Oryzias latipes: one gene and its partners. Each later gene encodes a partner of the first gene's protein in a complex. Links are inferred from orthologs where the notes say so. Each region holds a gene or a part of one and is shown on either strand. Other genes may lie near its edges.

Region 1 (5,952 bases):
GCCTGAACCAACGGGGGAACAGTCTTAGGGCAGCAACCTGGTTTACACCAAACGCCGTCTGACTGACTGAGCGACGCACCTGCAGAGCGCGGTAGATGACGCCTGCGCTGCGAGGGGAGCGGGTGCTGTTGTTGTCCAGCTGGCGCTCCAGGCGGCGCAGCAGCCCGCTGAAGTCTGTGGGAGGGTTGTAGGTTCGGGTCCCGCAGTACTGCAGGGAGCTGAAAGCTTTGGGGAACAGGCCCAGCTTCTGGAAGCGCTCCTGCAGCAGACACTCCGCTGATTCCAACTGCCTGTCTGCATTTTGACAGACCAAGACAGAGAGACATGTAAGAACATTCAAGTCAGCAGACATGGAGATTGGCTGCAGGACGGGTGGAAAACCTGATCCCAGCAGCTTGGTGTGGACGGTTTCGTGGAAGACGATTACTGCAGGGCCCAGTGTGGACAACGGGACGTCCAGACCGCAGCGGCTCGAGGTCGCCTTCAGCTCCTTGGTGAAATGTTTCAAGTAGGCATCTGAGGCGTCGCCGAGGAACCGGAAGAGGTCGTCATGGAGACGGTCGGAGTGCGTTCGGTAAATAATCACATCCGAGATGGCCAAGACTTTGAGGAGGAGGCGTTGACCCTGATTAGCTCCTAATTAAAACAGAAGGGAGCTGAGAATGCTTGCTTGCTTAGTGACAAAGAGTTTCAGGTATTTGTTCCATACCAGCCCCCAGCAGCCCCTCCGTATCGATGACCACCACTCTGTGCAGAGGATCCAGAGCAGCCCACACCCCCACGGTGCAGGACTCCTGGGTGGGCAGGGTCTTGAACACTTCTCTTCCAAGAAAGAAGGTGTGGTTTAATGTGTGGGACTTGCCCTCTCCAGTGTTTCCAAAGATGGAAACCACTTTGAGGAGCTCATCTGGTGTGCAGCCTAGTCTGCTAACAAAATCCTCTTCATCTTTCACCTAAAAACCCATTGAGATGATTTTACTCATCAGGAATGTTCTGGAAGAAGGATTTGGGACAAAGTAGGTTTGTTTGGCACCCACCTGCACCTCCTCCTTCTCATTGACTAACAGGAAGCTGCTCGCCTCCTCCAGCTTGGATCTGAGGGCCTCCACCTCCATCTCCCCATCCACCACGCAGCTTTCCTTGGCCGGAGGATAAAGCGTCAGCGGGTGCTTCCTCTTGTTGACGCCAGCATGAGTGCGTTTCTGGCAGTCTAAACACAGATTGATCTTACAGCCCTGACAGCGCACCGCCGCCCGGACCCGGGTGGCGTCGGCCCTGCCCCCCTTACAGAGGTCACAGAAGGGAACGTGGCCGGCCTTGATCTGAACCCGGTCATGGTTTCTCATGCGCTTCTGCCGGTGGAGCTCCAGTTCACAGCGGATGCACTGCAGGCTGCCGCACTCATCACACTCATATGTGGCTTCGTCTGAGCCCCCACAGGCAAAGCTCTCTTGACAGACCAAGACCGTGGGCCTCCCTTGCTCCATTTCTGAACCTGGCTCGCTCATTGTGGACCTGAAATTTGAACAACAGTGACTTTTAAGAAAGATGTGTTAAAGACTCCAGAGCATGCAGGTCGCTCAGGTGTTTGTGCATGAGATGTCCTGTAGACGAATGTTTACATTAAAGAAGGTCCAACCATTCATAGATCCACCAACAACACAGACACCTGGAGGGGAAATGGAAAAAAGTATGAAAAATTAAAGGTTAATGGGGAATTTTTAAGGTTGATTCCATTAGATTCTGCCTCAGACAGATCAGTCTGGTTGGATTGTAGGAATAGAAATGCATTCAGTGATTAATTGTTACCAACCACACATTATAACACACTACACATTCTGAAAATTCAGAAAAAAAGCATTAAAAGAATACCAACAGCTGAGGCACAGTAAAAAGAATTGGGCCAGAATGAAAGCAGATACATACACAGCCCATTTGTAAGGAGCTTTAGTTTAGAACATTTGCTCTGATTTTCCAAATAAATACATAATCGGCTCTTACCTGAACAGACTCACCTGTCCCACGGAAGTGAGTCTAGCCCCGAAGGTTCAGCAGGAAGCGATAGCGGCGTCACGCTGTCAAACATGCATGTTTACAAAAAGAAACAACAGCCCCGCGAGAAAATCAGCTGGTTGCCTTGTTTTGTTGTCCATGTCAAGGGTCACAGCGGCGCAATGCATTTTGGGAAATGCATTTCCAGTGAGGGTCGAGCTCTTTGTTTAAAGTGAATCATGAAACAAACATGTAAAAGTTACTTTTGCTTATATTTATAAATCTAAAGCTTTTATCTCCACATTGAAGTTCCTCCATAAAGCCCTGTACCTAAAACTCTCACCCATAATGCTTTGCTACAGCCGTCATTACTGGGGGTAAGTTCGTTTTGTACACAGAGGGCTGCCGGAAAGTGGCTTACTGAGACTTGCGCTTATTTTAGGGTTCTGATGAATTGAAATATGATATCATAAAATAGGCTTTGATCATTAAATTAATGTCAAATAGACTTAAATTCATCTTTGCTGCGGCTGTTTTGATTCCTGTGCTTGTTTAAGCGCCCCGGTGTCAAAAACAAAAGCACCCGGAAGTTGCGTCACGTGAGAAGTTTTTTTCTTTTACATGAGAAGTAGTTATGCACAAATGTTTTTACTTTGCAAATTTTACTGTTGACGTTGTTTTTCAGATGAACAGGGTTGAGTGTGATCTTTTAGTCCCCGTATTCAGGTGGAATTAACGGCATTAGTCTGCTGTTGAGGTGCTAAGCAACAAGCTAACTTAAGCTAGCTAGCTAGCCCAAACGGACTCTCTGAGTTTTTTCCCTCACTCCTGATCTGATGGAAGAAGAAACATTCTCTGACATTAGAGGTCAGCCCATTACTCTGGGATGTCAGAGGCACTCCAGCTTCTGCACGGAGTTCACTGTCAGCTCCCCCAAGGTGTCCATCGGGAAGGTCCTGGCGTCCACCTGCTCGGTGTGGCTGCTGGCTTACCTGCTGTTCTTCTTCACACAGGTGAGACCTTCTGTCTGTCTGTCTGTCTGTCTGTCTGTCTGTCTGTCTGTCTGTCTGTCTGTCTGTCTGTCTGTCTGTCTGTCTGTCTGTCTGTCTGTCATGGTGGGAGGAAAAGAAAAATGACTTGATTGTTGTGGGAACATTGCCTTGTAGATTGTCAGAACCGCTTCTGGTTCTGGATCTGGTTTTGTGTCTGCTCTGGTTTAATAACGTTCACATGGGCTCTTCATCCCGGCTGGTTCTGTTTGCTTCTCTGACTTTACATAATTGTTCAGGCATAACTTTAGCCTCCAAAACTTACTTTCCCATGGGGAAATGTTAGATCAGGGTGTCTTGTCATCGCTACAAATGATTGATCAAAGTAGGAACGTTTAGGCTTTTATTAGGTTTAAGTTAAAATATAGAAAACCATTTAATGGTAGAATAAAAGCAATTCCTTTCCTTTCTTTGTCCCCAATGTCCTGCAGTCTGATGATGTTGATGATGATGGTAAAACCATCACTGATCCCCAATTGTCCAACATTCCCCATAAATAATGCAAAGTTACAAAACTACACAGAAGAGGAAGTGAAATGGAGTTAAGATCTAAATTCCTCAAATGTACTATTGCTCCAAAATGCAAGAAATTCATTTCAAAATTATGAGTGATGTTTACCCAAACGCGAAGAGCTGTTGGGTTTATGCTTTGGTTTTCAGCAAAACAGCTGAGCTTTCTGTGATATGAACACAGAATCAATAGATGGATTGTTTTATCAATGCATCAACTGTATGTCAATGGCTTTTGGCGGATTGTCGTTGTTGATGTTGCACTACATTTTCAGAAAGCCAAGTATATTTTGGAGTAATCTGCAGAGAGAAATGATTTAATTTAGTTCTTAATCTGACACACAGGCTGCTTTGAGACTTTACAAACCTTTTCATTTGATTCACTGTTCTGTTTTGGTGCATTTGCTCGGGTGACACAAATGCAAAACAGAAATAACCTCTAAATCACGAACCATATCTGGCTCTTTTGATGGTCACATCTGGCTCGCAGACAAATCTTTAATTATAAAAACAATGTTTTCATTAAACCAGTCCTTCTCAGGCGCGATGTGATGCCGGGGGGGGGGGGGGGGGGGGCGCAGTAGTAGTAGCGGTGCTTGGACAAAAAAAAATCTGCGCCACTATTGGTTTCCTATTATGTGTTACATCACAGAGTTTGTAGCAGCCTCAAACTGTGAACCATCCGTCCCTGCAGCTGCACGCCCCCGTCTCTGAGAGGGGGGGGTAGCAAGGTGACACGCACACTGAGTGTCAGAGCTTAGAACACGCTGTCCGTCACATACCACACACTGCAGCGTGTGAGCACTGCTGTACTGACAGTGTTCGCATTTCTCACATCTATAGAACATTAAGACTAAGGGTGTGACGATAACCGCATCACCACGGTGATCAAAAATCCCACACCGTCACAGCTCTACTCCACAGCGGGTTCATAATAATAATGAAGTGATAACGTAAAATAATAAGGAATCAATCACTGTTCTTCTGGGGGAAACCTGATTTTATTACTGTTCTCCTTCACTTGGTAACACCAAACATGAACGTGCATGTACTTATTGTACTTGAAACGTGTTGAAATTACGCAAAATACACACATTCACTTGTATTTTTAGTTTTAAACATATTGTATTGCTGAACAAGTTGTGTGGCGTTGGTTACGGCCTGGAGTAACTAGAATAAAGAACCTTAAAAGAGGTTAAGTCTCCATGCCTCAGTGTGGGAAAGGTACGCTACAATATTGTATACTATCATTAAATTACATTGAAAAATATGTGGTGTTCATGGCTCTCTCGGCCAAAAAGGTTCCCGACCCCTGCTCTAGAAGGAGAAAAACAAAACAAATGAATAAATATTTGTATCTATTCTAGTTCAGGCTGAAGTTTGAAAAAGCAAAGGTAGGAACTCTGAGACATAAACTCCTCCCACCACCGCCAACCATAAAAGCTCATGTTTCCTGTCCCGTAGAACACGGCGGTTCTGTCCAGTGCCATCCTCGTCACCTTGGTCGGCATGGTTCTTCACATCCACTTTGTGAAGGTCGACCACGAGTCCCTTCTAGTCATCGGGTCTTTGGGCATCCAGGTGTCTTCTAGCTACGCCTCAGGCCGCGAGATCACGTCCTTCATAGAGATGGGCCGGATTAAAGACATCGTCATCAACGAGGCTGTTTACATGGTGCTTCTGTGGACCAATGTCATTGTAATCATGGGTCACCTCTGGGACGCAGGTGTAAAAGCCGTGTGTCCTTCATTCCAGCATCAGATCATCTACCACCTGTGTGTGCTGCTGAGGGAGCCGGCAGAGCCAGACGCCGTGGCGGGTGTGGTGCCCTTGTTCCAGGTCAGTGCAGGCTCATGGTGTGAGGAACAGTGCCAGAGGTTGATCTTCACCAGGACTTTGTCTTTCAGAGCTCAAAGCCTAGACTCGGTTGTTTGGTAAAGGTTTACCGCAGCTGTCAGGAGATCCTGTCCAAGGTTCCATGAAGCTTGGAGGGGACGTCTGTCTGACCACACTTTGCTTCTGGTATGTTTGAATCCTTTTAAATTGGACAAGAGTACAGGAACTTGTTAATGGTTTCTGCCAAATATGTTTTGTCCTAATATTTCAAAAGTCATTCTAAAGCATCACAGGCCTCTTTCACTAATCAAATGCAGCTTTCAGAGTCAAGGCCCGTACACACCGGGACGAATATTCGCCAGGCGTTATTCGCCAGCGTTTTTCGCCACGTTTTTTGTGTTCACACCCAGGCGATTTTCGCTGACGATGAGTGGAGTGAACATGCAATTTCATTCACTGACATTAGATGGCGCTTAATGTAAAACAGAAATACTCCTGTACACAAGGTGGCGCTGCGCAACTTTACGCTTCTGAAAGTCGCTTTTAACTCAGAAGAAGAGAGCAA
Region 2 (6,065 bases), on another chromosome or scaffold:
AAAAAGGCAACGGCTGTTTTTCCAACTACTTCCACTTAGGGAGTCTGTTGGAGCCAGTCTGCTGCAGGTTGAGATGAGCATAAACTCTGCAACAGCTATGGCTGCATATTCATCAGGAAGCAATTGCGAAACAATCCGACGATTTTAAGACTCATACTTATGCCCAAAGAGAGCAACACACACGGGAAGTATCCCACTAGATTAAAGAGTTGCTAGGAATGGACTTTTTCAACACTTTTACACATCCGACCAAGAAAACAATGATGAAGAAGAGCAGCAGATGAGATTAAAACAATATACTATAATAATGATTGTTGAGCAAAAATTATCAAAAAATATCAGGACAAAAAGAAGGACTCCAAATTTGAAATATCTGGTTCTCTGTCAGCTTTAGGATCGATTTTAAGGTACTTTTCTTAGTTTAATGAAATTGCACTTTAATTTTAATCAAGCTGGTGTTAGCAGACGACCCTCCCAGAGCCCTCAGATCCAGTTATGCTGGTGCTCCCTGAGGTCATAAACAAAAACCCACAGCGAGGCCACATGGCAGAACTTTGGCCTAAACTCACCTTTTTAGTTTAGCTTTTATGTCGATTTTACATTTCCTCATGTTTTAATTTGATTTTATGGATTATTTTTTCCTGCTAGTTTTTGTACACAACATGTGTTTATTATAAATACTAATATAATTATTATTTATTTATGTAAAAGACTTTGAGGTGTTTTTTAACAGGAAAAGAGCTCTATAAAGAAAGGTGAATTTCAACTAGAGTTGATCGATAGCAAATGAAGGTGTGGCATTTTGACCGTAAGAACACAAAACAGTTTCTCTTACCCATCAAAGGCGTTCTCTTTTACCAGAACGCTATCTACGTTCTTGCTTGTTTTCATGCCTTGTTTCCTCCTCATGATCTCTGCAGCCTCGGCTCCCATCGTTTCCTCAATATCGTCAGGGTCGACGTCATCAAACCAAAGGTCCTCCCTACAGCAGCACAAGCAAAGATTACAAGGCAAACCCGAACTGAAGTCAAGTATTAGCAATAAGGATACATACTCTGTGGGTTTCCTCTCTTCAGTGACGGGCTTCTTTTTCTTGGCTGGTTTCTCATTGTCTGTCTTTTCGTTTTGCCTTTTCCTTGCACCACCAGGTTGCAGTTTGTCTAAGGCGGCGTGGATCTTTGCCTTCACCCCATCCTCCTTTGGGGCATCGCCACTTTTGACTTTTCCCTCTCTGTCTGTGTGCACCTGGCTGGGAGCAGGGCTCTTATTTTGAAACTTTTTAGGCTCATTTCCTTTAAACTTCTTAGGGAAGACACCATTCCGATGTTTTGGTGTAACAGGCTGCTTCTTCTCTGGCTGACTGCTCTTTAAGATCTGCCATGTTCAGGAAACAAAGAAGATAATTACATTTTAAAAGTAAATACATTTTCACATAAGTAGTTGCACAGCTTATGAAGAGCATAGAGTTTAATATTCGTCAGACAAACCTCTTGTAATGCTTTCCAGTTGGAAGAAAACTGTTGGGGATCCTGTGGTGGTGCAGTTTGCTTTGCTCCAGGATTTTCTAGATTTTTCTTGTTTAGAGTCTTTTGGGAAGTTTGTTTTTTACGATTATGCTTTATAAAAAACTTCTTCCTTTTTTCTTTGGACGTCAGCTGTTGCGTTTTTCCAGCAGGAGTTTCCTTTCCTTTGATTTTAGACATCGTGGTCGCACTTCTTTAAACTTCAGGGAGTATTTGCTGTGTTACACAGCCACGTTTTTGAAAGAAGCCAATTTTAGGTGAGATGTAAACGAAAACAGTTAACGCTGTGTCACATACATATGTATCCCAGATAAAGGGCACACACTGTTTCTATTAGCAAAAATAGCCACTTTATTATCCTCCCAAACAGGGAAAAATTATGTTTCAAGTTGTTTACCTTCACATTCACGAAGCCATGCTGCGGTGCTTCTGGAATGAGTAACAGTCAAATATGTTCGTCAGGAAAAAAGTAACATGATTCGTTCGAGCGGCAGAAAGTTCTCCCTTCGTTGATTTTTTTATTTCTTTCTTTTTTCAAGCTTGAAAATAGTTTTTAATATCTATACATTACTAACAAAGAACACAAGATTGATATGTAATTTTGCTTTATTTCTTTAAAGTCTTTTGTTCCTGATGTACAGTTTCTGACCGAACTCATTTAGGTGATGGACTAACGTTTTGTTGACAGCAGTCAGCTAGGTTTTGGCGTAATATGATTAGATGCACTTTTTACATTTTTATTTATGTTTCGTTTGAAATAGTAGAATTGGATTTTATCTATCGTTGAACCTAGCTGATGGTACGATATAAACAAGCTATTTGAGAAACATTTAAACTGTTTTTAGGGGTTTTTGTAAACTTGCTGCTCTTCTTACGAACCAAAATACACTTATTATCTGTCGGTAAGTTTAGTGACTTTTTGTCATTGTTTATTTTCGATTATTTTACCCAATAGATGGTCTGTTTGTGTTCTGGTTTCAGATCATGGTTGAAAACTCCCCATCACCTATGCCAGAGAGAGCAATCTATGGGTTTGTTCTCTTCCTTGGCTCCCAGTTTGGCTTCTGTAAGTTAAGTCCCATCACATCATGTTCTTTCAAATTAGAAGCATAGTTCTATTTGCAGAAGATGTCATTCAACGTAAAATGTTGTGGAATTACTTATCTCTACGGCTCTTGGTAATATAGCAAAGACATTCTGTTCCTTTTGTTTATGTTGCCATAAATCTAATCTCATTGAAATTTGTAAATGTGCAGGACGACTCACTTGAGTTAAAATAGAATAACCGTTTCTCGGTGGAGATTTAAATCTCCTTACTACTAGGGTGATAAATAGTTGACCACCTGAAAAACAGACTGCCATTAATTCAATGTGACTTCACTTAAAAAAAACAAGCCTTTTTGGATTTTTTTCTCAATAGAATTCTTTCAATAATTAGTTTTTTTTAAGTTATTTATATCTCAAGGTATACATTAGTAAAAGGTTATTGTGTTTATATATATTTTTAAAAATTCAGCTGAAAGATGGCAGGATGGTAGTGACTTAAATATTGTAAATTACTTTAAAACGCTAGTTGTGTGTTGTTGTTGTTTTGGGTAAAAAGTAGGATTTTTTTAATAGGCCTGTTATGTTCATATTTAGGCTTAAAACTACACAATTTAATAAGTCGGCAAAATTGTATTAAGCCAAATGAAGAAGTCTTGTTTAACTTTTAAATTGGATTGTCTTTTTCTCATTTAAAAGAAAATTCTTCTAATAATCCCAATAATTCTAAAAAGATTTCAATTTGGAATATCACATAACTCTGTTGCTTATAAATGAATATTTACACTTTCCTCAAAGGTTGTCTTTTTTATTGGTTGGATGGTCTTTCTGTATGAAAAAGCATCAGATTTAAAAATAAATTGAAATGAAAGGACATATGTTTATACATAAATGTAAGATAATGTAACAGAACAGAAGTAAAAATAGTTCGTGAACAATTTGAAAAAAAAGTCTATCCTAAAAGAGTATCAAAGAATTCTCTTAATAAAATATGTTTGTTCTGTTTCTTTTCCCAAAGTTCTGTACTGCTTGTGGGCATACATACCAGAGGAATGGCTTCATTCTATAGGGCTCACTTATTGGCCTCAAAAGTAAGTAGCAACAATATGACAAGTTAGAATTTATGTTTTATGTCTTTTTACAATGAGATTACCCTAGGCTTGTTAGCCTTTGTTTGAATCTTAAAGTGAAATGTTTGATGCAGGTATTGGGCTCTCGCAGTGCCAATATATATGCTGGTGGCAATACTGGTGTTTGTTGTGGTGTTATTTGGGGTCAACATGAGCAACACAGCCCCACTGGACTCTGTGGACAACATCACAGGTGAGTTTATGGCTGCAGGCTAACAGTCAGCGTAAATCACAGAAAAGCTGTTTGAAGTGAAATTATATTGAATTTTAAAAAAAGGAAGTAAAATCACTGCTAGGAGTAATACAACCGAACTAGCTTTAACATGCGCTAATTGCAGCTGCATTTTTCTAAAAAAGGAACTGTACCTCACATAATAAAAGCATATACTTTTAAAATAAATGAATACAAATAAGGGTGAGTAATTTATGTCAAAAAGGTCGGATATTATGTCAAAATTAAGAAAACACCACCAAGAAAACAGCTTTAAGTGTCTTCTTTGTGTCTTTTAGATATTTATGCACTAAAGCAGAGTGAAGAATGCCTGCAGAAGGGGGGAATACCTCGAATAAAGGATGTCTCCATCAGTGATGTCAACAAAATGTTTTATTTATCACCCAAAACATAACAGTCTGCTGCTGGGTGTTTTGTGGTTTCTCTGTTCATTTATTAATAATCTGGGGGAACCTTTCTGATGGTGTAATATGCCAAATCTGTTCGCTTTTGCAAATTTGTATGCAAAGTTAACAGGTCTGGTTAGTGGGTTTGTATGTAACTTTTGCACTGTGACTTTGCTATTTACCTTTTAAATTTTTTTTCTTAATTGATCAAGATGTTTCCATCATACCAATAAGAAAATATCACTTAAATATGTTCATTTACAGTATGTTTCAGTGCATTAAAGATGAGGTATTTTTCCACAAGATAAACTCAACTTTTGTTATTTTAGACAAAATAGATAAAGTTTCAAAGCTGAACCAAGTTGTGTTTATAGTTTCTGGCTAAACATAAAATAATATATATACTGTATATCTTGTTGTTTCATTGTTGCCTTTGTATTTTTGTACAATTCAAAGATGACAAAAGTGCATAAAAGATATTTTAAAAAAAGATTGGGGGTCCTATTTCCCTCCTTTTCTGTTTACACTTCATTTTATTACAAATAAGGAGATTTTTTGGTGTTTCATTTTGAAAATTGTCCTGTGTGTCATTTATTGTTATTGGCACAAAGATCTTTAAATGTACAGCAGGGGGCAGTAGTGAGTTTGGTGCTGCGTTTTGTTAACTTTATTGATAGACGAAGAAAAGCAATAACAGGGTGCTGCTCCTCTTCCAAGTATTCCACATTTTTGTTGTTTAGTTTTGTGCTTATTGTCTTCAAATACACGTTCCAAACAAACAAAAATGACGTTTGCTGTTCCGGTGTGGCTGGCGGTGCACGAGCTTCTCCTGGAAGAAGAAGCGGCGGAGAAGGAGAACTCGACCTGTTTTGACGAATTCAACGACGCCGCTTTGTTCGAATACTTCCACCTCACGCGGCCCTGCATCGCTTTCATCGTCGACGCCGTTCGAATCCGCATGAAAACGGTCTCCTGCAAGAAACCCTCGCCTCCGGTGGACGCGTTCGTCATGGTGGCTCTTAACTACTTCGCGCATGGCGCGTTCAGCCCGCTCGTGGTGCAGAAAGTGGGCTCGTGCCTGCACGCCAGCCTCACGAGCGTCGCCAGCTCAGCATCGGGGGTCATCGCGGGGATGTCGGACGTGTTCATCTCTTTCCCTCTCACCGCGGAAGCCAGGATTCAAAACGCCGCCGTCATTAAAGAGTTCTGCAAAATCCCCAACGTCCTGGGAGCCATGGCTCCTGCCCAGTTTAAGATCAGGGCTTCTCCGTATGAGAAGGAGTTCTTTAAGTCCTTCATCAACGCGCAGGGCTTCACGTCGGTGGTGAGCCAGTTCATATGCGATTCCCAGGGCAACATCCTGAGTGTGGAGAAATGCTGCGTAGGGAGCACTTCGGAGCAGGAACTCTGGGAGTCCTCATTCAAAGGCAGGGAGGTGGAGGAGGATCTGCACGGACCGTACTGGTTAATCGGTAAGACAATATGAGGAAGCACTTCTTTAAAGTCTGAATCACAGCTGATGCCCCCTAAAGAGATTCCAGCAAATATACACATCCCAAAACAAACTGTTTATTGAACTCTCTCTCTAATAATACCTCAATTATGCACCAAGTGCTCCTCTAAAGAATAAAAATGTCTAAAAGGAAAATCTTTAAAAAAGCAATAGTTTGTATTCAAACAGTGGAAAGATGGAGCTCAGTAACAGGATGTAAACCGTTGGATCGTTTGACCTTCAAAAACCTCAGCGATG
Region 3 (5,799 bases), on another chromosome or scaffold:
GCAGAACAGCACATAGCTCAGGACGGATGTTGTGTAGGCCTCCAGGTCTGAGCCATCTTTAAACACCTCCCAGTCAGTGAGTTCAAAACAGTCCTGTAGTGCAGAAGAAGCCTCTTCGGTCCATACCTGAACTGTTTTGATGGTTGGTTTGGTCCTGCAGATCAGAGGTCTGTATGTGGGGGTTAGCTCCACAGAGATGTGATCCGACATGCCCAGGTGAGGAGCTGCTGCAGCCTTGTATGCACCTGGGATGTTGCAGTAGACTTGATCCAGTGTGTTGTTGTCTCTGGTGGGAAAGTGAATAAACTTCTGAAATTTGATGGATGGATGGATATATGGATGGATGGGTGGCAGTGGCTCAGGCAGATGAGCAGGTCGTCCAATGATCGAAGGGTCGTTGGTTCGATCCCCTCTCCCCCCAGCCAACTGTCGTGTCTTTGGGGAAGACGCTTCACCCTCCCTGCCTCCACTGGTGCATGAATGTGCATGAATGTCCTGGTGATGGTCAGAGGGGCCGTAGGCGCCAACTGTCAGCCACGCCTCTGTCCGTCTGCCCCAGGGCAGCTGAGGCTACATCAGTAGTTACCATCACCAAGTATGAATGAATGATGGACTCACTGTTAACGCTTTGAGCGTCTGGAAAAGCAGATCAATCCATTATTATTTAGTCTTAAGTATTTAAATAAAAAGTAGGGTAACATTGACGTAGAGCAACTGTCAACTGTCAACTGGCTATGTTTTGACTATCTTATTCAGATTCATTTCTCCACGCAGGTCAGTTCTTGCTTTACCAAACTGACTTGGATGGTTCATTTTTCAGACGAGTGAATTCTGCTGGCAGGATCAACCCGGTAGCCCCAGGAGTTGGCAGTAGGGCGGGCCAACCCAGGCCAGGCCTCAACTAGGGCAACAGTTCTGGATTGTGTTTCTATAGTTTTTTTACTCTAATTAAATAATGAGTGATGAGCAAATACTTAGTGGTCAAATGTCTTTACCGTCAGATCTGTAGTTTGTTCTTAATGAATGATCTTTTTCAGCAGCAAAGAGCATTTATCACTGCAGGAACATGAATGCATCAGTGTCTGCAACATTTGCTCTTGTTTGCACACCAACTAGCTGGTCTAAACATTGGGACTGCATTGTAAATTAAAAACATGTATTTTAAAATCTTTGAACTCAAAAGCAACTTTTCTGAACTGTATCGCTGAACTATGTATTTATTTAGCGGAATGTCGACACTTAAGCTCTCTGAAAATGTATTTGTTTATTTTTTTAAACAAATCTTTGTTCTTGATGATCTACTTTCTGACCTGGATTAAAAAAAAAGGTTCATCATGTACGGATTTCTGTTTCTTAGAGATTTGTTATGAAAGTATTGGATAGTTTTTATTTCATTATTTTGAATGTGGATGAGCGGGTTCTACTGGTAGGAGTGTTTACCAGTAACTACCATTTCTTTAGTTTAATCAAAAAAGTGATGACTCATATCACTGCAGAAGCGTTGTCCGGTCCATGACTCCTGGATGGTCCGGTCCATAAGTCCAGGGAATAATGTAGCTTTGCCTGAGGATGACCACCATGACTAAAGCCGATCTCTTGGAGCCAGATTGTCGTGTTGAAGTGGGTTAGTGCAGAAAATGGATTTATGGAATATGAACGTTCCTGTGAGACTCCAGCATGAATCTCAACACAAATCCTAAAGTCATAAAAAATATTCCTTTCCAAATGGCCAGGATGTCGAAACGCCAACTGTTTGCTGCTTCAGGAATCCCACAAGACAGAAAATGTAAAAAACAACAAAATCAGGCGGGACGTTTTTCTATTTGTCATGTTACTCCAGACCAGCAGGGGGCGGTCACGGGACTTTCTCCTGCAGCTGCAGCCGGACATAAACCAACCGGAAAAACGGAGGTCACGTGGTTCTACCGCCTGTCAACAATGGTGAGCGGCGTTTAAGTAATTTATTTTATAGGAAATCCCTTTACAAACATGATTTTACGGGGATAAACAGTCGCAGTGGTTTGACCTTTACAGGCCGCCGTCATGAAGAATTGTGCCTAAAAGCAGGTTGAAGTTTCGCGTTGAGCTCTTGACGCTTAAGGCTTAATGACGATCCGCGGGTCCCTAACCGGGTCCCTAACCGGCCTTCAGAAGAACGACAGGAATGTTTTCTCCTCACGGGAATGCGGACAAAACGGACGTTTGGTCTCTGACATTTTTATTCACCGCACATGAAAAAACGCTGAGATTGAAGCCGCAGCTGTAGTCAGTTTGGCCTTTTTCATTGTATTTATTTACTCTGAAGTTAGAAGAACATCCCACAGAAACTTTACCCAATGAGTTCTATCACTAGAGGAGACACACCCGCTTGGGAAGCCTGGCCGACGGTGGCGGAGCGCGACGCCATCTTGGTGAGGTCGTCAGCGCCCACGTGACAATGATTTCTATTGCCTTTAGTGGCATCTAGTAGCTTTTATATATATTTATACCTATATATAAATATATATGTATATCATTTATGTATATGCATCATTTGTTTTTAAATAAGAGAAACAGGCAGCATTAAAAGCTCAAACTTTAATGAAAAATGCAGAGTTGCAGGACTTCTTACAAAAAAAATTATTACAAAGAATTTTTAAAAATAATTTTTAAACATGTAGAAGTTTTAGACCTCTTTGAAACGTAATTTAAATTATTTAGAAAAGCCCAACAATAAGTCAATAGGAAGCCAATAATAATAATGAATAATAACAATATATACATAAGTCAATAATTATAATAATAATAAATAGTAATTCAATAATAATAATAAATTATAAGAATAAATCAATAATAAGTCAACAATAAGTCCAAAAGTCAATAACAGATTTACCCTGAAAAAACAAAGAGAAACAATAGATTAACTGATTCATGTTAGTGATCAGTTTGTGTAACACAGATTCCTTGGTGTCGGGTTTCAGGCTAACATTCTGGCCTCTCATCAAAGTCTGGTTCCACAAATGTTCTGAACATATCCAGACTGTATCACTAGTTGGTACCACAGTGATCCATCTGGGTTAGCTCTTTTTATTGCTAAGATCCACTTTTTCCTGAAGTCTGAATCTATTAGAAACCTGCAAGAAAAGTTCAGTCTGAGTCAGAAATGTATAAATCTATATTATTATAATAGCCTAGTCCTAGTATACTGTATATAGGTTTAACACAATAAAGTTTACATTTATGTCGACAGCAAATTCTCCGTACATCATGCAGCATGTTGATAACAGCCCTGCAGCATCATGCATGTCTACATGTGTTCTATTCATGAAGCCCCTCCAGCATTAAAAGAAAAACATTAAAATACTTACCTGTGAAATGTTCTGCCTTCCTGCTTCGTGGACTAATTTCCTCGATTTTGACAGTTGAAATCCGCACAATGAACTGGGATTTTGAGTTCACATGCTGAACTGCAGCAGTGACTTGACCTCACCAAGATGGCGGTGCTCTCCTCCCATGAAGAATCCCATGACGTCTCCTCTAGCGATAGAACTCATTGACTTTAACTGCTGCGGCACCCGCAGTCTGAGACCCGGTCCAAAGCTGGGTCACTGATGAACTTTTTCTGCTCTTGGTTTTCAGGCCACTGGAGTGGATCAGGCTGTCGGCATGGGTCTGGTTCTGTTCAGCCTGGCTCTGTTTTCGTACTACTCTGTGTGGGTCGTGGTTCTGGTACGTCCTGATGGAGCCTCTTAAATATCTGTAGGACAAAGGTGGACTCTAATACTGTGATTTGCACCAATTGCAGCCGTTCATGGACGGTGACCACATGCTGCAGCAGTACTTCCTTCCTCGTGAGTACTCTGTCATCCTGCCGGGCATTGCAGCAGTGGTTTTGCTCCTCATGATAGGTCAGTATGCCGTCTCATGACCTCATGACCCCGCTGTCTACACGTCTTCATGCCAGACGGACGCGGTGATCCTCTGGTTTTTGTCTTCTCTGCAGGGGCTTTCACAGCAGCTGTTGTGTGGATGAATCACAAGCCAAAGAAAGTGGATTAGTCCCACTTTCCATGGGAAAATGGAACTTTATAAAGTCACATGGATTCATTTTCCTCCTCTGGGAATCTTTTTGACAGAACATGTGCTTGGTGTTGTGGGTATGAGTGCTGGCTGTGAGTGAAGTCTGGGTTTCAAACTGAAAAATAAACCTTTTCACATAGATCACCCCGTCCTACAGATGTTTTAATGGTTGCCAAGCATTCTGCTGACCTCCATGATGCTGGGAGTCACTCGTTTTCAGTATCTACACTGTGTGGAGGCAGCATTTGTACACCAGATGAGTACGGTGGGTGGAGTCTTTAGGTGTTTCAAAAGTCTGAATACTTTTGTCATTTCTCACTAGTTTGGACTTTAACCCTCCTGATGGGCTGGATTCTTGTCTTGCTCCATGTTACCTAACTGTTTTCTCTACATCAATAAAATCACAAATTAAAATAGTAGAAAATCGGTTTCAACCATTGACTGTATAGAGAACTGGACTGATCGAGGGTGAGCCACCCGTAGAAAACACCTAACCCCCAGCTCCAGCTAAAGGAACCCGATTCAGTCGCCGTTTTTCCTCGATACGGTTGCGCCATGTTGGAGCCAGACGACAGTGGTTGGTGCGAGTGGTCGTTTCTATGGCAACTACTGTCGCCAATCAGAAGTAAGCTTGTTTGAAGTCCACACCCCTTCAGCTCAGGACCTGAAAGCAGCTCAGGAAAATCTGTCAAACGTTAGAGGTGGGGGGCAGCAGGCACCACAAGCTCTTACTGAGGGATCTGATTGGTCAGCTGAGATCTTGAATAAAGAAAGCAAATGAGGATTATTAAGAATATATTAACAAAAGGTATCAGATCCAGAACGCTTCTTCTGACCAATAGAATGACTGAGGAACATCTGGTCATTTCTATAGACATGTACGGGATTCTGGTTTCTTGGAACCAGCAGATACTTCCTGTTTGGAACGCCAGGGGGAGGGGCGTGCCCAGTCCAGGTCTCCATACACAGTCACTGGTTAACTCTTGTTCTATCCTAGGCACTTTACCATTGGGAGTTGGGTCATCTAGACCCACTAGACAGAGCTCTGAACCTTTTTTCTTCAATGATTTGTGATCTTCACTGGTGTCCATGGATTACATGAAATCTTTCCACCTTTATCCACCTTTGTCATGGTAGGGGGAACACGTCAATGGAAGGGGGGGTCATCTAAGCACAGGGGTTACGGCCTCACACCCTCATATCTAGAGCCGCCCACCGACACACCCAGAATCCATGAACAAAACCCGTAACTGTAACTTCAACACTTTTCACAGTATTTTTCAACTGTTTTGATTTTATTTGACTTCAGCGAAACAAACATGTTCAAATGTGCGAACAGAAGGATTCATACTGCGGCTCCTACTCTCCTCATGGAACGGATCAAGCATTTCACTTTGCGTGTTCCATTGGTCATGCTAACACAGATCCGTTAGATACTGCTGAGGACGAATGCCGGTAAGAAAAGGAGGTGATCAAATGTGAGCCATGTTCTTGCATGTACGGACGTCGTTGCATATTTGAACATGCCGGATGTAGACATTTTTTATTCAGTGTCCATCATCTGAACAGTTGCGTCGACCACGTCCAGACTGAGAGGAGTTTGGGTTTTGGTCAGGACAGGCGTAGTTCCCGGCTTGTACCTGTACTGTCCCTCTCTGAAAAACACAAGCAAGACACGTTTGCAGACACAGCACTGTTGAGTTTCAAACCCTTCTGCGGTAACCATAGCAACCACTTCTT

The links.
Region 2: pigh (region 1) and pigp share a complex: the UniProt entries of both Homo sapiens proteins name them as parts of the glycosylphosphatidylinositol-N-acetylglucosaminyltransferase (GPI-GnT) complex. The link is inferred for Oryzias latipes from reciprocal best matches to the Homo sapiens genes PIGH and PIGP.
Region 3: pigh (region 1) and dpm2 share a complex: the UniProt entries of both Homo sapiens proteins name them as parts of the glycosylphosphatidylinositol-N-acetylglucosaminyltransferase (GPI-GnT) complex. The link is inferred for Oryzias latipes from reciprocal best matches to the Homo sapiens genes PIGH and DPM2.

Annotation. Positions count from the first base shown.
Region 1 is NC_019882.2:21,959,270-21,965,221, reverse strand, and holds the start of pigh (phosphatidylinositol N-acetylglucosaminyltransferase subunit H), read left to right. Parts: upstream 1-2,572; 5' UTR 2,573-2,828; coding exon 2,829-3,005; intron 3,006-5,015; coding exon 5,016-5,225; intron 5,226-5,306; coding exon 5,307-5,390; intron 5,391-5,458; coding exon 5,459-5,533; 3' UTR 5,534-5,573; intron 5,574-5,952. Other genes in the region: zinc finger FYVE domain-containing protein 1, read right to left, coding at 1-2, 80-294, 382-636, 710-953, 1,038-1,515, 2,016-2,086. UniProt on the Homo sapiens protein: Part of the glycosylphosphatidylinositol-N-acetylglucosaminyltransferase (GPI-GnT) complex that catalyzes the transfer of N-acetylglucosamine from UDP-N-acetylglucosamine to phosphatidylinositol and participates in the first step of GPI biosynthesis.
Region 2 is NC_019877.2:8,246,550-8,252,614, reverse strand, and holds pigp (phosphatidylinositol N-acetylglucosaminyltransferase subunit P), read left to right. Parts: upstream 1-2,169; 5' UTR 2,170-2,425; intron 2,426-2,504; 5' UTR 2,505-2,507; coding exon 2,508-2,589; intron 2,590-3,585; coding exon 3,586-3,658; intron 3,659-3,771; coding exon 3,772-3,890; intron 3,891-4,207; coding exon 4,208-4,323; 3' UTR 4,324-4,805; downstream 4,806-6,065. Other genes in the region: rexo4 (RNA exonuclease 4), read right to left, coding at 836-982, 1,055-1,374, 1,488-1,703; putative nuclease HARBI1, read left to right, coding at 5,100-5,787. UniProt on the Homo sapiens protein: Part of the glycosylphosphatidylinositol-N-acetylglucosaminyltransferase (GPI-GnT) complex that catalyzes the transfer of N-acetylglucosamine from UDP-N-acetylglucosamine to phosphatidylinositol and participates in the first step of GPI biosynthesis.
Region 3 is NC_019870.2:30,338,830-30,344,628, forward strand, and holds dpm2 (dolichol phosphate-mannose biosynthesis regulatory protein), read left to right. Parts: upstream 1-1,918; 5' UTR 1,919-2,106; coding exon 2,107-2,205; intron 2,206-3,618; coding exon 3,619-3,708; intron 3,709-3,784; coding exon 3,785-3,887; intron 3,888-3,982; coding exon 3,983-4,038; 3' UTR 4,039-4,203; downstream 4,204-5,799. Other genes in the region: proteasome subunit beta type-7, read right to left, coding at 5,603-5,714. UniProt on the Homo sapiens protein: Regulates the biosynthesis of dolichol phosphate-mannose. Regulatory subunit of the dolichol-phosphate mannose (DPM) synthase complex; essential for the ER localization and stable expression of DPM1.